Linked DNA regions of Notamacropus eugenii. The protein of the gene in region 4 interacts with the protein of the main gene of each other region in a pairwise test. Links are inferred from orthologs where the notes say so. Each region holds a gene or a part of one and is shown on either strand. Other genes may lie near its edges. The genes, in order: RARA, ESR2, VDR and SRC.

Region 1 (7,507 bases), on a different chromosome or scaffold from region 4:
GAGGCTCCTGGGAAAAAATAAGAGCAGTGGCGGGGGAACAGGAAAGGGTATTGCCCAAGTATGGGTGAGGGGACCCTACCAGGAAATTACAAATCCACACCTCTTTCTTCCCACTCACCCCCTCTCCCCTGCACCCAGGGGAAATGGTTCCCAGGGTGGGGAGTACATCGGGGATCCCGGAAGCCACCCCCTAGTGCACATCAAGAAAGAGGAACCAGCTTACAACATTCCTGGGTAAGGGGGAAACCTCTTCCCAGGCTGGCATGGGAGTGGTCATGGGGTAAGGGAGGCAAAGGCTAGGCAGAATGTCCTTCTCTAGTGCCAGCCAAAGACTCACATTCCCCCATTATGCAGTGTCCCAGGATTTGGGCCACTAGTTTTCTGCACATCCCATTCTAGAAAAAAGTGTGCCCCCCAGACACTTGGGCACACGCCCCACTGTCCAATGGAAGTGCCAACCTGGCAAGAACAGGAAGCCTTACAATTTCAGCTCCTAGAATGGGGGCAGTGCCAACTTAAGGAGGAATCAGTCCAGTCCCCCCTCTCAGCCCCACCTCCAAAGGCCTTAACCACTCAGGACAAACACCAGACATTCAGATAAAGCATATGGGCTGCAAGAGTAGGTGAGATGCAAAATAAAAGAGCTCTCTCCCCAATTGGGGTTGAGCTTTAAAGCTTCCATACAGAGCAAAGTGTACAGAGTGAAAACAAGACAGGAGACAATGAGATGGGAGAAGGGACTGAAGGGAGAAGGGAGACTTTGGGGCACGGGGGCGGATATCCAGAGTGGCATTCAGGAAACTTTCTGAGCAGGACCTGGGTTATCCCTCTGGGGACCAAGAAGTAGTCCCTCCCCCAAGCTGAAAACACCAATAGTAAAGTGGGAAGGGGGCACCAGAATGGCAGATACATTTGTCCATTTCAAATTGATTTAACAACAAGCATTTATTAAATGTCTACTATGTACAAGATACCTGAAAGTTCCCTGGCTGTGGGGGGAAGTCAGGAAGGAGAATGACACAGAGACAGAGGAGGAACTCTAGGGAAGGTCAGATGCTGTGGGCAACTGGCCAGAGCAAGTAGGGTGGCACCATTCCAGGGTCAACTTCAGGGACAATGAGACTGCCCTGACCCTAGGAAGGCGAGTACTGCCCTAATCCAGAGAAGGGAGCATTGACCCAGGGCAGGGAGCAGAGAGCAGTGTTGCCAGGTGCCCCACTGGTGCCAACAGGAGAAGCAGTGGGTGTCTGTGGCAGTGTTCATCCTGGGCAGGCCAGGGAAAAGGCATGTGGGATGGAGGGAGGAGGGAGAACAGGACATTTCCCAGGTCAACAGCTGCCCTGTCCATCCATCTCCCAGCCTCTGTTCCCTCTTCTCCCCGCCCGGCCAGGCCCCAGATCCCTCCCCCTCCTGACTTGGCACTGTGCCCAGCTCGGCCCTAGGGGCCAGAGTTACAGTAAGAGGCCTGGCAGGCCTCTGGTCTGAGCTATGCCAGCTGGCAGCCACTACTGCCACCTCCCACTACCTGGCTTCAGACAGGCCAGGGGTGGAAGAGACGCCCACCTAGCCCGTGCAAAACTCTCATGGGAAAGATAGAGAGGAAGGGGGAAATGGGGGAAAAAAATCAGAGACAGAGCAAAAGGGAAGAGGGAGGGGCCTATGTCTTTTCCTTGCAGCCCAGCTCCCACCCATGACCAAGGCAGAGCTTTCCTCCCTGCCCCCGCCCTCATGCTGTCCCCAGAGCTCCTTCCCTCCATTGCCTAGCTCACCTCAATTCTCACCAGGTTTATACCCACCACCTCCCTCCCTTCACGCTCCACTCAAATAGGGGAATTAGTAGCAAGGTATGTATGTAGGGGAAGCGCGCTGTGCTGGCCTTCCTCCTACACCCTTTAGGTACCCTCATAAAAAGACACCTGGTACAGGGGACCCTGAGGGTAAGGATGAGGGAGGAGGGCATGTGGCTGCCTCTCCAGGTCACAATACTGTTCCCGCCAAATGTCGAGAGGTTTGTTTATCTACCAGGGGCCTTTGTCTGCTGCCAACCAAGCTATTTATAAGATCCTCAGTGAGGTGGAAGGAGGGAAAGCCGGGCCGAGAACGCAACACAAATGGCCCTAACCTTTCTGCAGCCCTCCAGCCTAGCACATACTTTGGCAGAGTCCAGCAACCCAAATTATAATAGAGGTTCCTTTCCCATCCCTAGATGGGGCCCCTGCAAGCTTCGAAGGACATTCCCTGTAAAACAGGCAACAGTAATAAACAGTATTCATATAGTGTTTCGAAGTTTGCAGAACACTTTCCACATCTGATCTCACTGGAATCTCACAATAGCCCTGTGAGGTCAGTGCTATTATTCTTCCCATTTTACAGATAAGGAAACTGAGGCTGAGAGAGGTTTAAGTACTTTCCTAAGGTCACACAGCGAGTGTCTATGGCAGGATTTCAACTTGAGTTTTTTCTGATGCCAAATCCAGAGCTCTATCCAGTGTACCCCTTAGCTCCCCCAACAGCTACGTCCGTTATTAGCCACTCTTTCTTTGTCACTCCCTGACTGACACCCCATCCTTCCCAGTGTTTTTATATAACAAAACCACCACAAACCATCCCCTCACAGAGCTCTGATGATAAACCACCAGGTTCTCCTGTGATATCTGAGCCCTCAATCCCACCCATCCCCACCCCTCATTCCCACTCTGTGGCACAACTTACTGGCTGGTGACGGAGTGCTGTACCCACTGACAGGAAGCTGGTGCTGGATACTTGTCAGGGTGCCAGGTGGAGAAAGTCCGCCCAGCATGGGAGGGAAGAAGAAGGCATAGTGAGGCACTGGGTACCCATTAAGGTGCCCACTCCCAGGCGTTGGGCATGAGCTGCTATTGCTGGCCATGCCCTGATGACAGTCAAAGATACAGACAGAGAGTCCAGTTGGGAAGGTTTGAGGGGCTTCTCAATGCCCCTTCTCAGCTCATTGGGGCCTGGAGTTGGGAGGGGTTGTGGGTGATCAACCCACCCCCTCTTCCTGTCCTGCAGCTGAAGAGGGCAGTACCCCACAGGGTGATCTTGGCCTTCTGGAGCCACCGCCCAAACCAGGGGCAAGGTGGCAAAGGGAGGGGAGGGCGCTGCTCAGGTCGGCTGCTATGATAAGCTGGAATGAGGCTTGGAAAGCTGAGGTAGCCTCCTGAATGGCACCCACCACGGCTGGCTGTTAGGCAGAGTATCGAGCGAGGTATCCTCACCTAGATGAACTCTGATGACGCTGGTGCTGCTGGGGAAGCCATGTCTTCTGATGCTGAAAAGGAGAAGACAAGACAGGTGAGTAGGCACAGAGAACAGGGCACAGGGGTTTTCTCTACGGGGCTCCCCCCACCTGGGCAGCTGGAGGTTTTCCCGTGACACCAGGCTAAGCAGACAGATGGCACAGTGCCTGCCTGGCACAGACAACTTGGGAGTGGGGCCCAGACACTGCAGAGGAAGAGGTGAGGGTGAGAACATTCGCACAAAGAGCAGAACTTAAACCTTTAGGAGACACCTCTCACCCTAATGTGGCCAAAAGGCCTGTTGTGCCTTGAAGGCGGGGTCCCTGGAGATCAGCAGGGGACATGAGGGAAACACAGCTGGACCTAGAGATCTCCCCAAAGAAGGGTTACCTAAGGTCACAGATGTAGAGAAAGCGTGGGGATGGTGGAGGTAACCGAGGGAGGGGAAGGGGAGAGAAGCTGCTTCCCTAAAGCATGGTACTTCTCAGAATCGTGACGCAGCAACCCTAGGGGCCTCTTACACCACTTCCCCCACCCCAGCCCCAAAATCCAGGGACCTAACACCCTGCATGGGTGGGGATAGGGTGGGGATGAGGATGTTTAGCCTGGAGAAGAGGAAGATGCAGGTGGGCCACAGAGCCGTCTTCAAATATTTGAAGGCTGGTGTGTAGAAGGGGGGTCATGTTTGTTGTCCTTAGCCCCAGAGGCAAGAACCAGGAGCAATGGGTGGAAATTGCCAAGAAGCCAACACAGGCTTGATGAAAAAAAAACATGCTAACAATTAAGGATGCCCAGGAGAAGAATGGGTCACCTAGGAAAGGTAAGTATCTCCTCACTTGAAGTCCTCAAGCACTGACTGAAGGGAGCCAAGGGATTTACTGGTATATATTTTTACATGGGAATCAGGCTAAAGGGCTATCGAGGTCCCTTCCAATTGTAAAATTCTATGATTCTGGGGTCATTTTGACATTCCCTGCCCCAAACCTTAAGTGAGTACAATGGAAGCAGAGGCTTTCTGTGTTTTTAGCTTCACTCTTTCACTTTTACAGATGAGAAAACTGAGGCCTGGGGCTGGCAAATAAGTTGTCCACAGTCACACAACTTGTAAATGACAAAGCCAGAACTTGTGCCTGGGTGTTCTGATTATAAGTCCAGTCTTTACCCTTCCTCACATGTTAAGAAAGGTCACAGGGGCAGCTAGATGGCATAGTAGATGGACCACCAGCAGCCCTGTAGTCAGGAGGACCTGAGTTCAAATCCAGCCTCAGACATTTACTAGCTGTGTGACCCTGGGCAAGTTACTTAACTCCAACTTCGAAGGAAGGAAGGAAGGTCACAAAGACAGAGGGAGTCAGAGAGATGGAGAGAAAAGAGACAAAAGGAGAGAGATAAAGAGAAACACATTAGGACAGCCATCAAAGGCCACACCAGGGCATGTGCAAAGAACAGTCTGTAGGAGCAGGTCTACAACCCCAGTGAACAAGGGGATAAGCTACATTATACCTTGGGGAGCAAAGGGTACTGATGCAGTACCACCAAGCCCAAATACCAAGCTAAGTAATGCCTACCTGCCAGGGATGCCATTGGCAACTCTTCCCCCTCACTGTCCACTGTCCCAGCTGAATAATGCAGGGTAGAGTGGTAGTGAGAGCCAAGTAGACATTAGGAAGAGACAGGCAGAAGTGGGGAAGTGAGGAGGTGGGGGATGGATGTCACAACTGAAATTAAGGTAAACTGAGGCACAAAGTATCAAGTTCACAATTCAATTTATTGGTAAGGTGGGGCTGCTAGGTGTCTCGGTGTATGGGGCACCAGTCTTAGAATTAGGTATCAGGAGGACCTGAGTTCAAGGCTGGCCTCAGATACTTATGAACCATGTGGCAAGTTACTTAACCCCAACTGCCTTCCCCCCCTACAAAAAAATTTATTGGTAAGGCTAGCAATTACCATTAAAAGGGTCTTTCAGCTCCTCAGTAAGCAAAAAAGCCCCTGGGAAAGGGGGAGAAAAGGAGGAGGAAGAGAGAAATGTAGCCTTTTGTCCCCTCTACCTGGGGATAGAGTTTGCTTCCCTAGCTTATTAATTACCATGATTATTAATTTTGACCACAGAAACACACTTCCAGGTCTCTGATGAAGTCCTCCCAGGCCAGTAAAGGAGGGTGACATCAGAGGCCCAGGGAGCCCCACCCAGTCAGCAGCCAATCTGCCACACCCAGGACCTCTATGGAAGTTCTCCAGATGGGTAAGCTTCACCAATGACAGGAGACAGTGACCCAGAACCTCAGGCAGACAGAGAGTCATGTGTTTGGGTGGGAAAAATGAAATCATGTTCGTATACACTCAGCCCAAACTGCTCTTTTGTGTTCTTTTACTTCACTGTTTTCAAAGATTTTAGTTGTGGGGATTCAGTTAGGAGAAGGCTAGGGATCTGTATGATGTTTCAAAAATAAAATTTATTAATACAAATTTTTGTTAAAAACAAACACATTCACTTCCAAGAGAATGGTGTGTGTGTGTGTGTGTGTGTGTGTGTGTGTGTGTGTGTGTGTGTGTGTGTGTGTAGCTAGGAGGTAACTATTGCTATGCCATACAATGAACACAATTATTTACTTCTGTCTATACACCCAGACATACAACCCCACATGGACATGGACACACACACACACACACACACACACACACACACACACACACACGAGTTTATTCCACTTTAGATTCTCCCAGCTCTCTACCACCAGCCTGGACCTTCCAACTGCCTCTTCTGCCAAGAGAGGTCCTAAAAGCCCCTCTCCCTTAAGTCCAGCCATCCCACCACACACACTGATGATCACACAAACTTAGGCATAGCCTACCCTCCCTAAGGCCTGGAAAATGGTCACTCTCTCAAGGCCTGAGCTCAGCCTCCACAGATAAGCTCAGGCTAAGACAACTAAGGGAGGGGCTCTCTGACAAAGGGGAATCCTACTACACCCTGTCTTATCCAACTTAGCTTATTCTGAGCTTATCATTTGCTGGCATCACCTCTCCATCTTAGGCCCCCATATCTCCAGTAAGCTCTCAAACACAGGACATTCCAGTAGCTGTGTACCCCACATATCCAGCTAGACAGATCTCAATTCAAAAGGTACCCTCTGGGCCCAACCTGGACTCAGCTCTCAGAGATCCCATAACCACTCCCAAGGGGGAGACCCCAAGCCACCTTGAACTTCACCACTAGGTACTGCCCAGGTATTAGAGGCATCCCCCTTACTCTCATGTAGAAGGAATAGAGCCTGTGTTCAGCCCACAGTTTCTCCTTCCCGCCAACCCAACCACCTCCATGTCAGGACTGACAGCCTGTCTCCAACACAACTTGGCCTATGATATAAAGTCTGGAGCAAAGTTACTTAAAGTTCTCAAGGGAGGGACTTCCAGCCAAGGGGAGGAGGAAGCAATAGAGGCAGGGATAAAGGTCACAGAGATCTTGTCAAAAGCCTAGGTAAGACCAACTAAACAGGGTTGGGCAGAGGGGTGGAGATGGAGGTAGGAGGACCTGACAAGGCGACACACAGAGTACCTGAGAGTCCAGGAAGGGCAGTGAGTGTGTGTGTATGTGTATGTGTGTGTGTGTGTGTGTGTGTTTGTGTGTATTCACTCACTAGGTCCTACAACTCCACCCCACCTCATCCTAGAAGCATGGCATCACCTCTTTCTCCTGGGGTAAGAAGGGCATCTTCAGAGAATCAAGGCCCAACACAGGCAGAGAAGGGAAACAAGACACCCACATCCAATTCACTCCTATACTTCGTAGGCTACCCACAGGGTACCTTCCTCCCCCTCAATGTGGGCAGCAGGGGCGGGAAAACCACAAGCCCACAGTGCCAGGATATCCTGAACCCTTCTTGTGCCCCACCTGGCAGTGGCAAATAAGAGGGAGGAGACACAGGGGGCAGTGTCAAGGGGATTTCAGAGAATCGGCAGGCACAAGAATAGTTTGCTATGTCATCTACTCCTGTAGAGTCAACCCCATGGACCTCCTCTCCCTTTGACTTCCTTCTCATGTTTTAGCCCCACACAACAGGTTCCTCACAGGATGTTCACCTCCTCTAAGGCTGAGAGGATTGAACTGATTTGAGCTGTACCCTCCTTGCTTCCACTCAAAAACTCAGCGGCCTGGGACTCCTCTCTCCTGTATCTTCCCATGACTCCCACCAGTAGGCTTATATTTGGTTTACTAGAGTGATATAAGGACTTTGTTCTACAGGCAC
Region 2 (7,953 bases), about 120 Mb from region 4:
ACTGTACATGAAAATAACTTGGATTTGCAGAAATACTAGAAACAAACAAATCAGTTAAAATAAAAACATAATGCATTGTTTTAAACTGTACATAAAATCCCCCAAATCTGTGTTTCTTACAATGGCCTCTAGTTCTGAAAGTACCACTCGGAAGTCCAAGCATTAACACAGTGAATGAAATTAGGCTAAAAGGAATAAAAAGTGTGATTAATAGGAATAAAATTATATATATGTATTTTATACTTAAGTCATTTCAAAACATATACATCATTTATTTTAACCTTGTGGTTCTCCACTAAAAGTTGCCATTTTTCAACCACTGTCTGCTCTCTACCATGCAACTAAATACAGCTTCAGGCAGCCTTCTTTATATCAAATGGTATGAAATTAAGGTTAAAATGCCAGGATTGCAGTGGGATTATAGAACTCAGGGAACAACAAAAGGCATAATATTTTAACTCAGGGAAGCTAATGATTTAAACAAAAGCAACTTAATTTAATGAGTAATTAAAAATTAATGTCCTAATGGGAATTTTCAACTAATGCTAGGTGTCATTTCCCTATAATGTTATTAATAGCTTAAACATTTTCCCAAAGTCCATAACTTTAAACATTAATGGCTAAAACATTTTCTCAAAATTCATAATACTAAAGCCTAAAATGTCACATTCAACAAAAATGAAGCGTTTTCTCTTATGGACAGAAGCAGCACAAAATATGAGCCCAGGATAAGTGAAATAAAGCTCTGAAGGGCAGACATTTCTCCTAACTAAAAGTACCCCTCAGAGCCAAATCCAAAGGCTTGTTGTATTCGTAACACTTGTTGATGCACTAAATATATAACTTCCCCCTTCCTTCCAGCAACTAGATTCTAAAACAACACAAACTTTTCTCCGAAAAAAGGCAAGATAATGACCACAAAGATTAGTTTCTTTATAACCAAAGTACACTTATAAGATAGAATATTTTTAAGTGCTTAAGTGTGGTAAGTGCTGATAAGAAAAAAGACTATCCCTAATCAAAGTATATGAGTTCAATGAATATGTAGTTAACCTTTACGATCAAATCAAGCATTCCCTTCACTACTCCTATTCTCATCTCATGTGTACAGGGCAAAAACAGACATTTAAAGATAGTTAGCAAGATAATTAATTTCTCCAAAAGAAATCTTTTCAGGTTGCTAAATAAGACCCTGAGATACACATATCTATGTATCTACATGAATAGATAGTTATAGACGGACATAAACTCAAGGGGTGATATTATTCAGTAGCAAGGTAAATAAAGTTTCATTTTAAAAAAGTACACCATTTGACTGTCCTGAACTATGATTTCCTCCTGTCAAAAAAGAAACCATTACAAACCTCACTTTCATTTCCCAAAAAATAAAATATTTTCACCTGAATGACATTCTCATTCTATCAATTTCAGTTTGCCAGTAAGAAATAGACCACTGATAAATCCCTATTTCTTTAAAGCTTGTCTTCCTTCTCAACCAATAAAACAGCCACATCTTGCCCAAACCTCTCAGACTAAAGTCCATCTACCCTTGAACAGGAAATATCACTAATTGATTTAATTCAGCTAGAACAACTACCATCTGACCAGTCACCCCACCACAAATCTCCCCATCCCCAGAGAAAAATATTGTGTTGCATTCTTTTTTTTTTTTCAAATTTAAATCAAGTGGAGAATCCCTGAAGAAGATACTTTAGAAGGAAAAACCAGAAGGAAATTTTAAAAATTCTTGTGTACAAATCAACACAAAAGTGTTTCTATTTCACAGATGGCACATACCAGTAGAAGAGATTAACTTTCCTCTGCCATAAACGCAGCAGTTATTAGTTTCCTAAATTTTTTTGTTTGTTTGCTGCTCTCTAGATGCTAGTGCCTCTGCACTCCTGAATTTCAAAAAATTAATCCAAGCAATTAGATTCTGAATCAACTGTTGTACCTACCTGCAGGGAAACAATCCGTTTCTTCAGAACAATCTGGCCAGACTAAGCATGCACATGGTTATCTTGCAAGAATTCTCAATGCTCTAGGAATCCCAGTCTCCCCAAAGCTGGCTTTTAGCTTCAGGAGGGATCCCTCGCAGCTACTAAGACTGTAGGACGCATCCAATCCCCACAAGCACAAGCTAGTCAGTGACCGTTTTTACTGGGCAAGAAGATACCAAGTCATCAGTACGAGTCTATTACACCTACAGCGGACCCTCTTGCTGTCTGTTTTCCAAGGGAGGAAGGTAGAGTTTCTTCCTCCTCCTTCCTGACACAAGTTTCAAAGCAACGCGTTTTCAGGAAAGGCAGCTTTCGTTTTCTCGAGCATCAAGTGGTTAAAAAAAAGTCAAAAAAGCCTAAGAAAAACGAAATCACAAATAATTCACCAGCTGTTGTTCATGTCCCCTCTCCCCTCACCCTTTCCTCTTTCCCTTTGCAAATAATCGCAATGGGGAATTGAAGCTGACGCCCCCAAATGAGTAAGCCCACCTTTCTCTCCAGAAACACTTTGCTTCTTTTTTCCTCCAGCTTGGGCAGGACTCTAAAGAGCCGGCATCATCCTTTGGGGGACCCTAGGACAGCTCAGCTGCTCCCCTAGCCACTTCCAATAGTCTTAGGGGGACCCTAAGACCAGTAGTCTTATTCGGATCCTTCCAAGACTATTGGAGGTAGCTGGGGAGCAACTGAGATTTGTGAACCACATCTGTGCCAGGAATCAATGCAGGTTTCTGGCTCCTGGTGTTATAAGCATTTCCCAAGAAACCATAGTTCCCTGCAATAAAAAACAGGCGGGATGGTCCGTGCTTCTGAAGATACAACATACACTTGAAGGGGTTGAAGCTGAGTCCAGCTCTCAGGCACCTGAAGCACAGGTTAAGAAAGGAGCAGGGGAGCATGGTGCTTGCTCCACTAATCAGTTACAGGAGTCTCAAAGATCAGACCAGCCATTCCAGACTGCAGCTGGATAAGGCAGTAGTACAGCTGATTCTATTGGGAGTTGAGACGCCAGAAGCTGCCCCAGCCCCAATTGCTTATGAAGGAATTCTCTTCTCAGCCTCAGGACCCTCCAGTGTGGAAGCTGCTGCCCCCTTGTGGCATTTTAGATCCCTCCTTCTCCCACCCCTCATAAAACAGAATTTGTTCATTGAGTGTGGGTGGAGAAGAAAGGTGGCAATGAGTGTCTCAGATCCAACTAACCAAGTCTGTTTAGGGGATAGGGCTAAAATACTTCACTCCATTAATCATATATTGCTAGAAGAGACCTTGAGGTTACTCAGTTCAACAACTTTGTGTTTACAGACAAAGAAACTGAGTCCCAGATAGGTTAGGTGACTTGCCCAAGCTGATACAGATAACAGATCTAAGAATCAGATTCAGGTACTTCTCTTCCAGAGGTAAGTTCTTTCAGGAGTAGCTAGCTGGCAGCTAGGAGTGGTGAGCCTGGAGTCAGACAGATTCATCTTCCTGAGTTCAAATCTGACTTCAGATCTTTACTTGCTGTGGGACCCTGGGCAAGTCCTTGAACCCTATCTACCTCAGTTTCCTCATCTGTAAAATGAGCTGGAGAAGGAAATGGCAAACCACTCTAATATCTTTGCCAAGAAAAACACAGGCGGGGCCATGAAGAGTCAGGCACGACTGAACAACAACAAAAGTGTTCTTTTCACTATAGTTTGAAAGAATATGGTTGTATGTGTTCATTCAAAAGCAAATGACAAGGAACTATGGAAAGAGCCTTGGATTTGTAGAGAGAATCTGAATTTAAACTCAGTTCTTCTATGTTACCATGGACAAGTCAATTAACCTCCTTGAGCCTCAATTTTCTTATCTATAAAAAATGACAGGGTTGAACTAAATGATTTTGATGGTCCTTTGTAGCTCTAAATCTGTGCACACTTCTATGCATGGTATAAGTGGTGATGCGATAAGGGTGCGATCCCAAGCACTTTTGTGAAGGAAGGACAAATGTTCCCAAGCATAAATGTCAGAAGGCATCAGACCTGTGGTCCATCTATTTATAATCCAATACTGCCTCTTCCAAAGAGACAAACAGCTGTTTAGAAGTTGTCCTCTGTGATACCAGCCACAGCAATGTGAAAGAAAGGAGTCAGTCCTGGGCCTGGAATCAGGATACCTGACTTCACTGTCTATTTGCTGCTCAGAATAAAATCAACCTGACTTGCCCAGAAAAAATTCTACTAATTGATGCAGTTTGAAACTGCTATCATCTGCTTCCTACATACAGGCTCCCCTACTTTGTGATATCTAAAAGAGATCCCTTTTCAGGTCTCAACTTCTCCATTGCAAAATGAAAGGAATCATAGGTTCCTTGTAGCATCTGATCCTAAGACATTAAGTATCTAACCTAAAGCAACCTAATTTCCCTTAATAGTGTAATATAGAACTATTATTTATGAATCTCTAAGTTCTTATCTTAAACATATAATTTTAGAAAAAATCATCCATCTCTTGATGTACATTTTTCAATTAGTTTTAATTTCCTAGTTAGCACAGAGAAATCCTTCCTTGCCTTTGATTCATTTCTGAGTTCCAACTATGTTCAGGGTAGGGTTACTGTTCTCAAAGTGCTTACAGGCTAGTAATGAAGATAAATTAGAATAGAATAGAATAGAATTCAGTGAATAGAATTCAGTGAATATATGAACAAGGCACAAAGTATTATGAGAAGGTAAAGGAGGGACTGGAAAGTTAGAGGTTATAGAGGTGACAGGGAGGACTTCATAGAAGGTGTGGCCTTTTGAGATGGAACTTGAAGAATGTGATAGCATTTGAAAAAGGGATGCCATGAGAAACGTTCACTGGGGCAGCAAAACACAGAACTTCTTTGGACAATGAGGGGTCTGTTTTGGCTGAAACAAAAGGTATACATGTGGGAGTAATATAAACCTGGAAAGATAGGTTAGACCAGAGGATAGAGGACCTTCAGTGATGAGGTTAGGAGACTTAGGCTTGTTAGGTAACAATAGTTAGCTATTGATTTTTTTTTGTTACTTTATTTTGAAAGGTTATATGACATATTAGAAAGAATATCGACCTGGAGTCAGAAGACCTGGTTTTAATTCCTGACACTTACCCTTTGAGGTTACTAGATGACTCAGTAGATAGAGCTCTGGGCTTTGAATCAGACAGACTCATTTTTATGAGCTCATATCTGACTCCAGACACTTAGCTGTGTGACCCTGGAGTGTTAAGTCACTTAACCCTCTTTGTCTCAGTTTCTTATCTGTAAAATGAGCTGGAGAAGAAAATGACAAACCACTCCACTATCTTTGCCAAGAAAACACCAAACAGGTTCATGAAGTATTGGACACAACTGAACAAAAACTTATCCTTTCACAGTCTCAGTTTCCTTATCTCTAAAATGGGAATAATTCTTATACTACCCACCTTATAGCATTGTTATGAAGAAAGCTTTTGCAAAACTTAAGCAGCCTATAAATATAATTTTTTGCTGGGGGGTAGGAGAGTATCATGATCAGTGTGTTGTAGGTAACATATTGAGTATAAAATTTTCAGCATTTACACCTTAGAAATCAGTAAGTGCTACAAATCAGGGCTAGATTTGTTGTTTTGTTGCTCGTCTAGACTTAGGAAACTGATGAAGAAAATGTTAGTAATACAAATTAATCTTAAAAGTATATTCTGTGCATTGTTTTCATTTGTTTGTTTTTGGAGAGCCAGTTGTTAAACATTTGCCAGCATACTCTTGCTCAGATATGTGTGTGTGTATATATACACACACACACACACACACACACACACACACACACACATATATGTATGGATAGACAGACAGACAGACAGACAGACAGACAGACAGACAGACAGACAGACAGATAGATAGATAGATAGATAGATAGATAGATAGATAGATAGATAGATAGATAGATAGATAGATATAGATATTCTAGATTACAGGGGACAAGAACCTGAGGCAGGGAGAAATAAAAGATAATGAGGATCTGAATTAAGGTGATGGGAGTGGAAGTAGACATAGAGAGACATGAAATAATAACTCCTAGATTTCTCTATTGAGTAACTTAGAGAAAGGTATCTTTAACATAATTGGGTGTTTGACCTAATTTATTTTTAAGAGCATCAAGTGGTAACCTCTAGTTCTAGTAGTTTAAGATTTGGTAAACAAAGTCTACACTTACCCTATTTATATTCTTTTTGTATTTTTTGTATTTTTTTATTTTATTTTTTTTTATTTTTTGCGTTTTTTTTATTATTTTTTAATGTTTAACAATCATTGCCATACAATTGAGATTTTATCCCCCCCACACCTACTCCCCACTACCCCCCTCCCTCCCCACGACTGCATACAATTCTGTATAGGTTCTACATATACTTTCCTATTGAGTACATTTTCACTATAGTCATGCTATGTAGTCGGACTAAAATAAATGGAAGAAATCATATAACAAATCAAAACGATACACAAAAACATACACATACACAAACATGATCTTCTACATTCTGCGAATGACTTCCATATTTCTTTCTCTGAGTGTGGAAGGCATTTTGCCTTAGAGAACCACCATTGGGATTTTTTTTTTTTTTAAGAAGTTCTTGCCTTATTACGAAATTCCAAGTCTACCAGAAAAAACTCTCGCACACTGTGGTTGTTGCTGTGCACAAAGTTCTCCTGGTTCTGCTCCTTCCACTCAGCATCAGGTCATATAAGTCCTTCCAGGCCTCTCTGAAGTCTTCTTGTTCATCATTTCTTATGGCACAATAGTACTCCATTACATTCATATACCATAATTTATTCAGCCATTCCCCAATTGATGGACATCCCCTTGACTTCCAGTTTTTGGCAACTACGAAGAGTGCTGCTATAAATATTTTTGTACATGTGGGACCCTCTCCCATTTTTATGATCTCTTGGGGATACAGTCCTAGTAGCGATATTGCTGGGTCAAAGGGTATGCACATTTTTGTAGCCCTTTGGGCATAGTTCCAAATTGCTCTCCAGAATGGTTGGATGCGCTCGCAGCTCCACCAACAATGAATTAGTGTTCCAACTCTCCCACATCCTCTCCAGCATTTATCATTTTCTTGTTCTGTCATGTTTGCCAATCTTATAGGTGTGATGTGGTACCTCAGAGTTGTTTTGATTTGCATCTCTCTAATCAATAGTGATTTAGAGCATTTTTTCATATGATTATAGATATCTTTAATTTCTTCTTCCGAAAATTGCCTGTTCATATCCTTTGACCATTTATCAATTGGGGAACCTATTTATATTCTTTATAATTTTAAAGACAAGAAGAATGACAAGTCCTAAGTGGCCAAGAAAGTATGTGGAGAAGTAATATAAGGCATCTAGCAGGTAAAAAAAAGGTAACTTGGGGAGGAACACATCCTAGGCAATGGAAAACTCTCAAATTTGTGTACACATGAGGATGGAACTATCAACAACCCACTTACCCCTTTCTTGCTACCTTTTCACTTCTGGCTCCTCATGGCACTAATAACAGCACAGGTTTAAATAGAGAATGGGCTGGGAGTGCTGGCACCTCATCTGTGCTCTCCTATGAAGCAGTGTCATATGGGAGAAAGAGCACTGGCCTCATTAGAAGACCCATCTTCAATCTGTGGGTCTGTCACTCACTAGTTCTGAGACCTTAGATGGGTTACTTAATGTGTCTGAGTCTCATTTACTTATCTGTTAAATAGAAATAATGCCTGCTCTGTTCTGCCCCATAGAACCCTGAGGAGTTAATGCATTTAGCAAATATAGCACCTAGTATTATATAAAGCTCTTTGTAAACATAAACTACATACATTACATTGAAAAATATTAGCTATTATGAACAAAATAAGAAAACCAAAGTGTAATAGAAAGACTGTTGGATTTGAAGTCAGAAAACTGGATTCAAATTCCAGCTGAATTTGTCATTGGTCAAGTCATTAGTTCTATGTAAGC
Region 3 (7,401 bases), on a different chromosome or scaffold from region 4:
TCATCACATTTGGCTTAAGGAGGGAATAAAATGCACACTCAATTTGATATGAAAATCTATCTTACACTACAAGAAAGTAGGGGAGAAGGGGATAAGTGGAGTGTGGGGGAATGATAGAAGGGAGGGCAAATGGGAGGAGGGAGTAATTAGAAGTAAATACTTTTGGGGAGGAACAAGGTCAAAAGAGAGAATAGAATAAATGGGGGGCAGGACAGGATGGAGGGAAATATATTTAGTCTTTCACAGCATGACTATTATGGAAAACTTTTGTATGTATATATACACATGTATAGCCTATATTGAATTGCTTGCCTTCTTAGTGGGGATGGGTGGAGAGGGAGGAAGGGAGAGAAGCTGGAATTCAAAATTTTAGAAATGAATGCTGAGAATTGTTTTTGCATGTAACTGGGAAATAAATACAGGTAATGGGGTATCTATCTTGGCTTACAAAAAAAGACAGAAGATGGGGATAAGGGAAGGGAGGTATGTGATAGAAGGGAGGGCAGATTGGGGGAAGGGGTAATCAGAATGCACGTTATCTTGGGGTGGGGGGAGGAGAGAGATGGGGAGAAAATTTGGACCTCAAAATCTTGTGGAAATGAATGTTGAAAACAAAAAATTAATTAATTAATTAATTAAAAACAAAAGAGAGAAAGAATAGATCGTCGACTTGAGCAGCCAACCAAAAAACATTTAGAAAAGTAACCAAAAAAGCCTTGCAACTATACACAAAGATAAAAATTCTGAAAGTCAAAGATATAAAATTGAAAACAAAAACTCCACTGAATTGATAATAAACTAGAAAATGAGCTTTAAAAGAATGATAAAATAGATAAACTGTTGGCTGATCTGATTTTTAAGAAAAGTGGACCAAATGAAAAATATCAGTAAGAAGAAATCACAACAAATGAATAACGGAAATTATTAGAAATTATTTTGCCTAATAGTAATGGAGTGAATGGGCAGCTAGGAGTCCATGTGGATTGAGGGCTGGGCCAGAAGTCAGGAAGACTGAGTTCAAATCTGGCCTCAGGCACTTACTAGCTATGTGACCCTGGCCAAGTCACTTAACCCTGTTTGCCTCCATTTCTTCATCTGTAAAATAAGCTGGAGAAAAGAATGGCAAACCACTCCAACACCTTTGCCAAAAAAACCCTAAATGGAGTCACAAAGAGTTGGACAGGAAATGACTGAACAACAAATTGAGTCAGTATTATCTGTGATGGGGAAATGCTGTAGGGGCCTTTCCAATAAGATCATGCTTGAGGCAAAAATGTTCATTATCACCTCTGGTATTTGACCCAGTACTAGTCATTTTAGGTATATTAACAAAACAAGAAAAGAAAATTTAGGCAATGAACATAGGCAAAAAAAGCACAATAATCACCTTTTTTTCCCTTAATTTTTCGCAAGGCTGCACGCCAGACTTCTCTAGCATTCTACCTTACCAGTTACCTTCTCCTCCCTCAAACCCATTTTTCAGATTCCTTTTACCTGTTGCCTTCCACCATTAGAATGTAAGTTCCTTACGAGTGGAGACTGTTTTCTTTCTTCTTTCTATCTGCATTTCCTGTACTTAGCACAGTGCCTGGCCCAGGGTAAGTCCTTAATAAATGCTTATTGACCGATGAGTGACTGACTGCCTATGAAATGATAGTTTACTAGAGAACCTTAAAAATTCAACTAATAATTAACTGAAACAATAATTTCAGCCAAGTGGGATATACAATAAACTCACATATATCACTGGAATTTGTGTATATGAGCAACAAAACCCAAAAGAAAAAGAGAAGGAAATGAAAATTCCATTCCTAATATCTATGCATAAGATATCTGGGAGTCCACATTATCAAGAAACACACAGGGATTATGTGACTCCAAAATTCTCTATAGAGAATTCTATGAAGATTTAAAGACAAACCTAAAAACTGAAGCTCATAGTTGGATAGCGTCAATGTAATAAAAATTACATTATCTAAATTAATTTACTTATTCAGTGCCATGCTAATCAAATTTTTTATTGTTGTTGACTCTTTGTGGCCTTTGCGGGGTTTTCTTGTCAAAGATACTAGAGTGATTTAATATTTCCTTCTCCATCTCCATTTATCAATAAGGAAACTGTCTAGTAAGTGTCTGAGACCAGATTTGAACCCAGTTAGATGAGTCTTCCCGACTCCAGGCCCTGTCCTCTATCCACTGCATTATGTATCTGTCTTCAGTATCAAAATACTAAAGGGTTACTTCATAGAACTAGAAAAATCACTAACAAAATTCATTAGAAGGAAAGATCAAGAACTTCAAGGGAAATAAAAAAGTCAAAAGGAAGGGAGCCTAGCAGCACCAGATCTTAAGCCATACTAGAAAACAATAATTATGAAAATTATTTGGTATTAGTTTAAAAAAACAGGAAGACTGATTGGTCAAACATGATACACCAAATCTAGAAGCAAACAAGCATAATAACACTGTGTTTGATAAACCCCTGGACTCCAAGTTCAGGACTTGCTAGTTGGCAAAAACTGCTCTGAAAACTAAAAACTGCCCAGCAGAAATTAGATTTAGGCCAACATCTGAAATCATATACCAGTATAAATTGCAAATGGACACATAACCTAGACATAAAAGGTCACATCATAAGGAGCAAGAAAGGAGATAGTATTCACTGTTATGGATGGAAGAAGATTTCTTGAGTAAATAATGAATGGAGAAAATCACAAGAAATAAAATGAATATTTTTTATCATATGAACTTTGAAAAGCTTCTGCACAAGCAAAATCAGTGCAATTTAAATGAGAAATGAAACAGTTAACTAGTAAAAAAAAAATTTGCAGAAAATTTCCCTCATAAAGTTCTAATGTCTCAGATATATAATAAATTGATTCAAATATGGAAGAAAAAGAGCCATTCCCCAAGAGATAAGGTTATAAACAGGCAATTTCCAAAAGCAGCAACCAATAATGATATGAAAAAACATTTGATATCACTAATATGAGAAGTGAAAATTAAAATAATTCTCATTAAATCAAATTAAAATACCCCATACTCAACAGATTCACAAAGATGACTAAAAAATGAAATTGAGCATTTTTGGAGGCGATTAGACTCATTAATGCAATGTGAATTGATCCAACCATTCTGGAAAGAAATATGGAATCATAACAACAAAAAAACACTATCCATCCCCTCTGATCCAGTGATAACATTGGGAGAAGACTGAAAAATCAGAGACTGCTAATTAGGTATTTTACATTTCACTTCCTCTTGACATTGTCCAAATACCCCCCCAGGATAAGTCTTCCAGGCTCAGCCCAGTCCAGTGAAGGTCTTCTCTGACGCAGCAGCTCCTGCAGCTGCCCATCAGCTCTAACCCCGGGGGACCCAAGTCCTCCAGAGCTCTAGAACTCCCACGGTGATGGATTAGAGGTGCCCAACGGAACACACACGTTCAGGCAAGGCCAATGGATTTGTTTTTCACTGGACCATGTTTATTTGTTATAAGGGAAGGCTTTGGGAAAGAGGGAGAGTAAGAAGGAGGTTAGTGATAGCGATGGCAAAAAAAAGGTGAAGAAAGTATGAATAACATATTTTTAAAAGCACAGAAGAGAACCGAAGGAGGTTCTGGAGGAGACGTAGATAAATAGGACAGCTTTGGAACTATCGATGAAATTTGTTGCGTACTTTTAAAAAGCTATATACATACATACTCTACAAAGCTATATATATATACTTCATATATAACACATCTTCCCCCCTTGTAATATGTGGAATTGTTAGTATTCGATGGTGTTAGGATAACAAAGTTAAGTTTTAGACTAACAAGTTCAGAGTAACAAAAACACTCAATTAAAATCCTGAAGTTAAGGAGCAGCATGCTTGCGCTGGCACTTGGGCCAGCCTCCAGAGGACGGTTTACACTGTCCTTTGTTTTCCTCTCCACAGCCGGTGGAAAGAACAGATCTAACCCCCATCTTCTGCACGACGCGCGCTGACAACCTTCCCAAGGCGCAGACCCATCCAGGTGTGGCGACGCACCTGGAGAGTGCTGCGGACTGTACCACTGTGAGGTGCAGGGGGGGGAGCTGTCCACAAAGTAACACAAAAAGGCCAGAACGGGCATCTTCAGAGTCACGGTGACTGAGACGACATAATACAGAGGGGGGGACTCCGTCTTGCTCCCAAAGCTTCGGGGATGCACGGAATAGGTTCCCCCGCACCCTCCACGGGAGAGTGACTGATTCGAAACTCAAGATGGTGTCGGAGCAGATTGAGCTCAGCCTGCCCCAGCCACTGGCTGGGGAGGACTGGGACCCAGGAGCCGGGCCAAAGTGATGGGGCGGGTCCGGAGGCAGGGTCAGAGCCAGGGGGCGGGGCCAGGTGCGGGGCTGTCTCTTCTTGTCAAAAGGCAGCCTCCCAGCTTGAGCGGTTCCGATCTCCCAGCGGGCGTGTGCCGGGGCCAGGTGCGGAGCAAGGACCGGGACTGGGCTCCGAGCCGGGACCGGGACCGAGACTGGGAGCGGGTTCGCGGTGGAGATCTCGAGATCTCGGGGACCGAGGAGGAGGGGGTGTACGCCTGCCAGTGTGTGCGCCCCTGGGCCACTGAGCGAGGCTGGGAGGTGAGGGCACCGTCTGAGCGCCAGGCTGTGGTGCCACGAGTCAGGCTGGACAGCGGGCTAGCTGGGAGAAAGAACGGAGTCCTGGGAGCCTTTGCCCAGCGAGGAAGTGGACTGTAGGCTTGAACTGACTGGGCTCCCAAGTCAACAAGCGAAAAAGCGTTCGAGTTGGAATTGGGGAGGCAGCGTGGGGTGCTTTTTGGGAGAGGGTCTGAAGGAAACTGATGACTATAGGGAGTCCTAGAGTCCATCTGGGCGCTTTTGATCTTTGTCCATTCCCCCGGGGAATCTTAAGACGCGCAAGAAGGGTCTCTAAGGCTCCTATCCTGTAGAGTTTCTTAAAGTAGAAGGTTCTACAACTATCATTATTGTACGGTGCCATTTAACGAAGGACGTGCCTCCAGAGTGCGCGTGTGGTCGAGGGGATGGGGAGCTTGGGGGGGCTGTAGAACGGCTCCTTTCAGTACCTCTGGGACAGTGTCAGAGTGCGGAGGGGACTCGGGAGCTGCTTCTGAGAGAGGGAAATGAGTTGAAGTGAGAAATTTCCGTGGGCGAATGAGTGAAAGCCATTTGGGAAAGTTTCTGTGAAGGAACTGCGTGTGGGGCTTGAGGGAGTTGTGAAGAGCGGGGTCTGCCCAGGGGAGAGGGTCTAGCCCTCTGGCTAATAGAAGATCAAGGACAAGGCCCTTGATACCTGGGGAATGAGTGGGGTGGAACAGGCAGGGTGCCCCCAGCCTAGCTGGGTCTGAGCCCTTCCTGGTCCTCCTCCTCCTTTTCTCTCCTCCTCCGTGCGGTGAGTGAGTCAGCCTCCTGTCTGGGCTCAGACACAGCCAGGGGGGCTAGAGCCTGGGTTAGATCTTCTTTGAGCTTTGCGGAAACACTCTTGGGCAGAGTTCAGTTCTGCCCCCAAATCATTGTTAGGTGGCTGTCTTCCATGAGGAGGTGAGTATGGGCTAGTTAGGGCAAAGAAACAGGCATTTCTAAGGAAGCAATGGCCCTAAGGTTTTCTGGGATGTTTCTGAAAGGAGCCAGGAGTGACCACCCCCAGGTGTGACTACATGTTTTTCCCATTTTTTTCTCAGGATTTGGTGGTGGGTCCTAGTACTCCAGAGCTGTCATTGAAATGGTCCAGCTTTTTCCTGCCTACCACCTCACCCCTGAGTGATCGCTTCAGCCGATGACCTCAGCCGGTAAGTTCAAAGTGCAGAGACAAGGGCTGTGCCTTTCACCAAATGAGTTTGGAGAAGGACAAAAGAGGGGTCATGCCTTGAGCTGGAAGAAGAGATCTGGACAGCCAGGCTTCTTCACCTTTACTCAGGGCTATCCATGAGAGGGGTGGAACTGGAACCCTTTACCCTCTTTGTTGTTGTTCTCGCTGCGCAAGTGTAAGAAATGACTTATTTCTTCTGGAGGAAAAATGACAAGATTGTGATATAGTCAGATTACCCTAGAGAGAGTAGTCCTTAAATATGTTTTTGGTCTTCTTTGGTAGAAGGGGATAGAGATCCCCCTAAGGGGATAATAGGGGCATCAGAGTTTCTTCTTTGGCCCCAGACCCTGCTGCTTCCCTTTTTCAATTCATTTGAGGAGAGGCCTTAATGCCTCATTGGGCTATGCGGATGACTCAGACTGTAGAAAGTTAGGAAATTTACAATCCATGTTTCAACCAGATCTCAGGCTTATGGGTTTGGTGAGTCTTTGGGTCACTAGTGGTGTGAACTTCTGGAGGAGACAAAACTTTGAGCCCTTCCAAGCCTCTAGTCTGGGAAGAGATTAAAGGGGAGAAGGGAGAAAGTCCAGTGGGTTTACTTCATTGGGACTGGATTTAGGTTGTTCTTTATTTGTGTAAGTAATGTGCAGGATTAAGATAATTTATTTCTTGGAATATTCTCACTTTGCCTTAGGATTGCTCTTTCCTTGATATCAAATCCTTTATAAAAATAAAGTGAAACTCTTGAACTCTCCCAAAGCACAAACCCAATGCTTCTCCAGGGCTAGACGTGTAAAATTTGGAGAATGATACTGGGCCAGAACAAGATAGTTCCATCCCCCCAAGGTAGAATGGAGTAGTACGCAGTTCATTAGCTTACTATGTTCTGTCCCATATTAACCCTTAGACCTAGATACTGGCCCAGGAGAGTTCTTCTAGAACCAATTCCAACAACCTCCTAGTTTGAGCAGGCTATTAACTTGGGTCCCTCTGAGCACAGAGTCAAAGAGTTAGGGGGACCTAGAAGTCTGAGCTGGGACAACAGTCTAGCTAATAATAACACTCCATATTTATGTAGTATGTAGTATTCTACATGTTATCTCTTGTGTTCCTATGAAGTAGATAGGACAGGTATTGTTGCCCTGTTCTGCAGATAAAGAAAAAGGCTCTTTAGTGATTTGTTCCAAGTTCGGTACTTTTTCTATTATATCAAGCATATTTTTGTTCTCCTGACAGCCACAGTATGGAAGAATTATGAGGCTTTATACTTGGGCCAGAACTGAACTGGTTTCTAAAGGCAGTAGAGAGTAGAGGACATGTCCTGAGAAACCTGAGGTCAAATTTTGGACAGTTACCATGGGACCTCAGACAAGTCACTTTATCTCTCTAAACCTCAGTTTCCTTATCTATAAAGTAGGTTTAAGTTATACTAACTACCCTGGAAAGAAAAGGCTTTGTAAACCTTAAAGCAATTTCTAAATATGAATTGTTGTTTCTTCCTCGAGCAATAAAGATTACTTTTCTAGGTAGTTTTCCCACTTGCTTCACTGGCCCACTCTCTTTCCCTCCCTTTGCATAGTA
Region 4 (7,987 bases):
CACACACACACACACACACACACACACACACACACATACTGCCACACCCCCTCACACACAGTTTATTGCAGAAATACATCAAATTAAATTGAAAAACAAGTGAGGATAACGAGTCAGTGAATGAAGAGAGGGAGTAATAACAGGGTAGGAGTAATCACAAACCAAAGAACTTCCTGATCCTGAAGAAAGAAATGAAAGGAAGAAAAATGAAAAATACTAGACTCTGAGAGGGAAGAGTGTGCCTTAGATTATCTCTTAGACAACTAGGGGATAGCTGAACAAACTGTGGCATATTATATAATGGAATATAATTGCAACATAAAATAAGAAAAAAGAGATAATTGTGGAGAATCCTGGATAGTATGAACTGATGCACAGTGAAATGAGCAGAACCAAGAGAACAATTTACACAAGGATAGCAGCATTATAAAGAAAAACAACTCTGAAAGACCTAAGAATTCTGATCAATTCAATGACTTCTTTAGAGGACCTATGATAAACCATGCTAGCCATATCCTGAAAGAAAGGTGATAGAAGCAAGAAACAGAAAGAGAAATACATTGTTATTACATGGACTTCATATGGATTCATTTGACTTTACTATGCATATTTATAACATGGGTTTTTCCCCCTTCTTTCTTGAGGTTTCTAATGGGGAGGAGCATTGAAGATGAAGCAATAGTGATTTTCAAAACAGACAGCTGCAACAATGTTTTAAATGCACGGAAGATTATGGAAGGAAGTTCAGGAAGCAATATAGATAATCAGGACAGTTTTGACATAATGTGAGAATTAATTACATATGTATTTTAAAAGAACATGGTATGAAATGGTGATTTGTGATACAGAATCAACTTTTTTGCTGTTTGAGTTAAGAATAAAAACAAAATGTTTTTAAAATTTTAAAGAATTTAAATTTAAGAAGTAAAAAGAAAACATCTCTCCAAAAGAAAAAAAAAATCCTTTGATTCCAAAGAATTACCAGTGATTGGCAGCAAGGGCAATTACTGTTAGCCCTAACAGCTATCTGTTCAATGTCTTTATTTATTTTATTTTATTATTTTTTAACTGAATTATTTTATTTGTTTTCAGTGTTTGACAATCACTTCCATATATCTTAGATTTTCTTCCACTTCTTCCGCTTCATTCCCCCCTTCCTCCCCACACCCTCCCTGAGATGGTATACAATCTTATACAGGTTCTACACGTACATTCCTATTAAATGCATGTTGCATAGAAGAATTAAAATGAATGGGAGAAACCATAAAACAAAACAAAACACAATACAAAAGAAAACGATCTGTTTCTATCTGAGATCCAATTCCATAGTTCTTTCTCTGGATGTGGAAGGCATTTTGCTTCAAGACACCACTGCAAATTTTTTAAGTCTGTGCATTTTAATGAAATACTACGTCTACCAAAAAAATTCCTCACACACTGTGGTTATTGCTGTGCTCTTTTCACTCAGCATCAGTTCATATAAGTCCTTCCAGGCCTCTCTGAAGTCTTCCTGTTCATCATTTCTCACAGCACAATAGTATTCCATTACATTCATATACTACAGCTTGTTCAGCCATTCCCCAATTGATGGGCATCCCCTTGATTTCCAGTTTTTGGCCACCACAAAGAGTGCTGCTATAAATATTTTTGTACATGTGGGACCCTTTCCCATTTATATGATCTCTTTGGGATACAGTCCCAGAAGCGATATTGCTGGGTCAAAGGGTATAAACATTTTTGTAGCCCTTTGGGCATAGTTCCAAATTGCTCTCCAGAATGGTTGGATCAGCTCACAGCTCCACCAACAATGAATTAGTGTTCCAACTCTCCCACATCTTCTCCAACATTTATCATCTTCCTGTTTTGTCGTGTTAGCCAATCTGATAGGTATGATGTGGCAACTCAGAGTCGTTTTGATTTACTTCTCTCTAATCAACAGTGATTTAGAGCATTTTTTTATATAATTATAGATACCTTTAATTTCTTCCTCTGAAAATTCCCTGTTCATATCCTTTGACCATTCATCAACTGGGGAATGCAATGTCTAATTATTATGGGATTCTTTAGGGATAAATGGATATACTGTAATCTTTCATGTGTTCTGACTGTTCTCTTCCCTCAAAACTTCTCTAATTTTTCTATAAGCAGAGGTGGCAGCTACCAGTGTATTAAAATCTAACTTAAAAATATATCCAAAAAAAAGTCCAAAAGAGGGAACCACTCTCCCATCCAAGTGTACAGGAGCAGTCAGGGACTGACCCTGACAAAATTTCTTGATTCAGGAATTTAAACCAGAAACATGAATAAAGAGAAGAAGGCTCTAAACAATAAAGAAATCTTAGGATACAATGATGTCCAGGACATAATCAAATAAAGTATGATTTGGTTACAAAGTCTCTAAACATGCCCATCAACAAAAGAAAGAAAAAAACAGAACAATGAATTTGGTATGCAATTTAAAAAACTAGAAAAGCATTACAAAAAAAAGAACTAAACACAGAAACAGAAATTTGGAAAGTCAAAGGAGATTAACAAAATTGAAGGCAAAAAAAAAATAACTGATAATTAAAAGTAGTAGCTTATTTTAAAAAATATCATAGTTTAAGTTAATTAATATGAGTTTTTAAAAAAGGAGTGTACAATCAAATTGTCAGTATGTATCAAAATCTAAAAAGCAAAATTCATAATATAGGTAAAATAAAGGAAATTATGAAAATGATTATGCCAATTATATGCCAACAGAATGGATAACTTAGATGCTATGAAAGAATACTTATAAAAGTATTATATATCTAGATTGATGCAACAAAAATAGATAATTTTAATAACATAATTTCAGTTAAAAAAAAACTTTTTAGTGCTATAAATAAAAAGAAAGAATATCCAGGACCAAATTGCTTTTAAATTGAATTTTGTCAAATATTCAAAAAACAATTAATTTCAATATTATGTAAACTATTCACAAAAGTGGAAAAAGATATCTTACCAAAAATATTCTATGATATAAACGTAGTCTTGGTACCTAAACGAGGGAGAAAAAAAGCAGAGAAAGTAAATTATAGACCAGCATGACTTATGAATATTGATGAAAAATCATTAAATAAAATATCAGCACAGAGGCTACAACAAAACATTTTTGGAGCTGTGAAATGGCACAACCATGTTAAAAAGCAATTTGGAATTCTGCAAATAAAGTGACTTAAAAGTCCATATGCTCTGAATCAGAGACACCATTATTAGGCTTATACCCTAAGGAAGTTATAGTGTAAGGGGACCAGAGGGTCCCAGGGGGTGCAAGTCAGAGGCAAAGCCTGTTCCCGTGGGAACGGTGCTGACGCACACCCTGGCAGAAGCTCTGTGTGACCCTGGAACCTGATGTTCCTGCAGACACTGATGTCCTGTACAGTAAAGTTACAAGTGAGCCTGGGAACCCAGGAACTAGCTGCAGGAACAAGATAAGCTTCCTTACTTACTGGGGATGTAAGGATGTGGAATAGTCATGAGAAGGTGAAGTAATGGGATGAGCTCAGCATGTATGTGATTGGTGGATCAGCCTTTATAAACCCTAACCCTCAGCTGAATAAAGGGTTGTTGCTTGGATCATCTTGTCTCCAGTCTTCTTCCTTCAGGGCCCACAGATTAGAGGCCCGTGGGTCAGGGGGATCCAGGGGGCTTGGGCCCTGACCCCGAGCATTATAGCAGTACTTTTTGTGATGGCAAAGAACTGGAAACAAAGTAGATATCCATCAACTGAGGAATGGCTAACAAGTTATGGTACATGAATGTAATGAAATATTTATTACAGTAAATGAATGTGCTATAAGAAATTATGTATTTCTGATAAATACAGAAAAGCATGGAAAAGATTTATATGAAGTGATACAGAAATAAATCCACATAAATTATCAGGTTTTCTATATAGTACCAATAAAACCTAGTGAAGACAGAGAAATTCCATTCAAAATAACTAAAGAACATATAAAATACTGGGAATCCAGGTAACAAGATACTCACAAGAATTCTATGAATGCAACTACAAAGTACCCCATACAGAAATAATTGAAGAAATATTCATTTCTCATGGTTAAGTTGTGCCAATGTAAAAATGACAATCTTTCATAAATTTGTTTAATGCTATGCCAAACTAGTAAAGGATTACTTTTTAAGAGTTAAAATATAAAAAAAAAAAACAACCAAAAAACAAAAGGTTAAGAATCTCAAAGGAAAATGAAAAAGAGGTGAGAAGGAAAGGGTCCTAGTAGTACCAGATCACAAACTATATTACAAAAAAGTAAATATTAAATCTAATTGGTATTGGTTTTAAAATAGAGAAAAATCAATGGGAAGAGCAGGTTAACTACACAACATGTAGAAGAAAATGAACATAGTTGTTTAATGTTCAATAATACCAATTATTAGGGTAAGGGCTCACTATTCAACAAAAATGGAAAAGCAGTCTGACAAATTAAGATTAGAACAGCATCTCATACCACACACCAAGATAAGTTCCAAACAGATACATAATTTAGACATAAAAGGTCACATCATAAACAAAAACAGAGGACCAGGAAAGGAAATACTTCTGGACAAGTTAATGTTCCCTCTTTTAGCCTCAGTTTCCCTATCAGTAAAACAAGGAAAATTGGACTTAAGGTGATCCCTATCTCTCACTCCACTTCTCCACTCACTTCTAAACTCTCTGCAATCTGGATTCTTACCTAATAACTCAACTAAAACCTTTCCAAAAGTACCTATGATTTAATTGCCAAATCTAAAGGCCTCTCTTCAATTCTTCTTGACCTCTCTTCATCATTTTCTACTGTTCATCACTTTCTCTTCCATGATATTCTTTCTTCTGTAGGTTTTTGTGACCCTCATCTTTTGTGGTTCCTTTCCTGTCTGACTGACTATTCCTTTGTCAATTTTCCCTCTAGCTCACACAAGCGCTGATTTAGAATTGGGAGAGACCTTTGAGACCCTTGAATTTTATAAATTTTACAGATGAAGAAATTGGGGTCCAGAGAGAATAAGTAATTTGCCCAAGTTCACACAACAACAAGTAGTCTATTTGCCCTGCACTGCCCTGGGCCCTCTTTTCTTTTCCCTCTATACTGTCTTACTTGGTAATCTCATCAACTTCCCAGGGTTCAGTGATCATTTGTATGCAGATGATTCCAGTCTCTCTCCTGAACTCATCTCTCCCTGCATCACCAACTGGGTTTAAGACATTTTGAAATCAATTTTCTTTTAGGCACCTCAAACTCATTATATTCAAAAGAGAACTCGTTATCTCTTCCCTCAAACTGTCCTCTCTTCTGAACTTCACTATTTCTATTAAGGGCACAACCATCCTCCTGGGTACCCAGGACTGCAGCCTTGTTATCTCTGCCTCCTCACCTTCACTCACTCCACATATCCAATTTGTTGTTAAATCTTATCATTCAACCGTCAAAACATCTTATATATGTCCCCTTCTCTCCACTCACATACTCATCCCCATGGTTCAGGTCCTTACTACCTCTCACACACACTAACTGTTCTCCCTACCTCAAATCTCTCCTCACTCCAATCCATCCTCAACTCACTTTCCAAAATGATTTTCTTAAAGCTCAAGGTCTGACCATGGAAGGCCCTCCCCTCACTTCCATCCCCATATATAAAGTCCTCTCTTTGGCATTTAAAGCTTTTCACAAGCAGCTCTGCTGGCCTTTCCAAGCTTCTTATACTTTGCCCTCCACTCTAGGATACAGCTGCCTACTTGCTATTGTGTGATCCTGGGCAAGTCATTTATTCTCTTTGGGTCCCACTTTCCTCATCTGTTAAATTTATAAAACTCAATGGCCTGAAAGGTCCCTTCCAATTGTAAATTAATTCTTTTATAATCCAGACATAGAATATACCATCTCCTATCTTTCTGCTTTTCCTTTGGCTTTCCTCCATGTCTAGCATGCTCTCCCTCCCCACCTCTGTGCTTTGGTTTTCCTTGGCTTCCTTCAAGACTCAGCTCAAATGTCACCTAAAAGAGGCCTTTCAGTTGGAACCAAGACAGTGGAGTGAGAGCAACTACTCACCTAAGCTCTAAGATAAATTCCTTCAGATACCTCTAAAAAGAGAATCTGAACAAATTTTAGAGTGGCAGAATCCAATAGGAGACAGAGTATGGCAGATTTCTGTAATAGTAATTTAAATGGAAAGATCTTTCTCGTTAATTAATAGGCCCATGTGATCTACTTAAATTGCCTGGAAGCCTGGGCCACATGTGGTGGGAGGAGCTTGCTGAAGAGGTGGAACAGGAAGGGTGGAGCAGAACCAGGAGGAAGTGAGTGAGTAGGGTCAGGTAAGAGGGGAAAGAACACAAGCCAACGGATACAAGCCAACTGACACAGGCCCAACTGACATATTGTGACAGTTGATAGTGAGAAGGCCCTGGCTGAGGCAGAGGAAGTTTAAGAATGGCTTTGCCCTAGGCTATGATCATGTTAATTAATTTCTTGGTCACCATGATGGATTTTCCTTTCTGGTTATGGAATTTGGCTTTCTGGTTTTTCTTCTGCCTTCTATATGGAGAATCTTTTACGTTTTGTGATTGAGAACTATGCTGACATATTCACAGTCACCACCAGTGCTTTGAATATTGCCTTGGCAATACAATTTCTAACCCAAGACAGACTGGAAGGTCAATGGGAAGGATATATTGCACGAGGCTGGAGGGGCACACAGTGCACAGGCTGTACCAGCATGGACACTGCCATAGCAAAGCTGAGGAGGAAGCCCCGGGCAGTCTGAAGCAGCAGCAGGAGCACTGTGGTATCTCAAACCTATCAGCCCAAGGTGGGGAGTCCAGTAGCACTAAGTGAGAGAGAACTGCAGAACTCCAGGTAACTGCACTAGCTGCTTCTGAGACTATCTGACCGTAGATTAAATGTCTGTAAGTCACTTACTTGAACTTCTGAGAGCCAAGATGGCAGAGTGATCGATAAATGCTCTACCCCTGCCCTTGCTGACCTTGAAAAACCCAGAGAATATTTCCCCAGCAAAAATCCTGGAACAGTGAGATCAGCCAAACAGTCTCTTAGCCTGTGAGGCTAGGAAAATCGCAAAGGGGGGTCCTTCTTGCTGTGCCTGAAAGAAATCAGTGCAAGATTGAAGCTGTCCTAGGCAGCAGCACCCCAGTGAACTGGGAGGAGATCCTGAGCTCCAGTGGGTTGGAGCCTGTAATCACCAACACTAGGACCCCAGGTGTGCCTCAGCACAGCTAGAGGAATTGGAAAGACACTAGTGCAAATGGGGTCCACCAACTACTGAGCCTGCCTGTGCTCAGGAGAGAAGACTTCCTGTGACCAGAACACCCCTTCCCCACACTTAACGCAGCTAGCTCCAGAGTTAACTCCAGGGAAACTCAGAAAGACTTCACCTGGCCTCTGCTTTGACACACCAGCCAGCTCAGCACCAGGTAAGCTACAGCATTCTAGTTTCTAACTGAAAGAACCAGAGGCCACAATACACAAAGTCTCAAATTCTAAGCACAAGAACCATGAGACAGAGCCCCCTGTACCCCAGAAACAGAGATACATTTTAAAAGCCAGGAAAAGGGTGATCATTGTGAGCAAAAAGGAAACCAGAAAAGATAATACCATAGAATCTTTCTATGAGGACAAGGACCAAAACACAAATACCAAAGAGGTCAGCATTGAGACTGTACTCCCATGTGAAACTTCAGAAGGGAATATGAACTGGTCTCTAGCCCAAAGAGCATTCTTAGAAAAGCTCAAGAAGGATTTTAAATGTCAAATTAGGGATGTAGAAGAAAAACTTGCCAATGATTTTTAAAATATGATATGAGAAATCCCTGAAGAATTTAAAAGGAAAATGGGAGTAATAAAAAAGGAAGCACAAACCTAACTGGGAAAACTGGACAAATGGAAAAGGAAGTACAAAACCAAAGTGCAAAAAATAACTCCTTCAAAGGAACAACTGAACAGATGGA

What was found.
Region 1: the proteins of SRC (region 4) and RARA interact in a two-hybrid assay, tested with the Homo sapiens proteins (2 studies listed by BioGRID). The link is inferred for Notamacropus eugenii from reciprocal best matches to the Homo sapiens genes SRC and RARA.
Region 2: the proteins of SRC (region 4) and ESR2 interact in a two-hybrid assay, tested with the Homo sapiens proteins (2 studies listed by BioGRID). The link is inferred for Notamacropus eugenii from reciprocal best matches to the Homo sapiens genes SRC and ESR2.
Region 3: the proteins of SRC (region 4) and VDR interact in a two-hybrid assay, tested with the Homo sapiens proteins (2 studies listed by BioGRID). The link is inferred for Notamacropus eugenii from reciprocal best matches to the Homo sapiens genes SRC and VDR.

Annotation. Positions count from the first base shown.
Region 1 is NC_092873.1:355,850,056-355,857,562, reverse strand, and holds the start of RARA (retinoic acid receptor alpha), read right to left. Parts: upstream 3,002-7,507; 5' UTR 2,891-3,001; coding exon 2,713-2,890; intron 1-2,712. UniProt on the Homo sapiens protein: Receptor for retinoic acid. Retinoic acid receptors bind as heterodimers to their target response elements in response to their ligands, all-trans or 9-cis retinoic acid, and regulate gene expression in various biological processes.
Region 2 is NC_092872.1:308,278,489-308,286,441, forward strand, and holds the start of ESR2 (estrogen receptor beta), read right to left. Parts: upstream 3,008-7,953; 5' UTR 2,490-3,007; intron 2,357-2,489; 5' UTR 1,959-2,356; intron 1-1,958.
Region 3 is NC_092874.1:219,607,361-219,614,761, reverse strand, and holds the start of VDR (vitamin D3 receptor), read left to right. Parts: upstream 1-4,398; 5' UTR 4,399-4,613; intron 4,614-5,692; 5' UTR 5,693-5,800; intron 5,801-7,401.
Region 4 is NC_092872.1:427,958,146-427,966,132, reverse strand, and holds the start of SRC (proto-oncogene tyrosine-protein kinase Src), read right to left. Parts: upstream 3,018-7,987; 5' UTR 2,987-3,017; intron 1-2,986. UniProt on the Homo sapiens protein: Non-receptor protein tyrosine kinase which is activated following engagement of many different classes of cellular receptors including immune response receptors, integrins and other adhesion receptors, receptor protein tyrosine kinases, G protein-coupled receptors as well as cytokine receptors.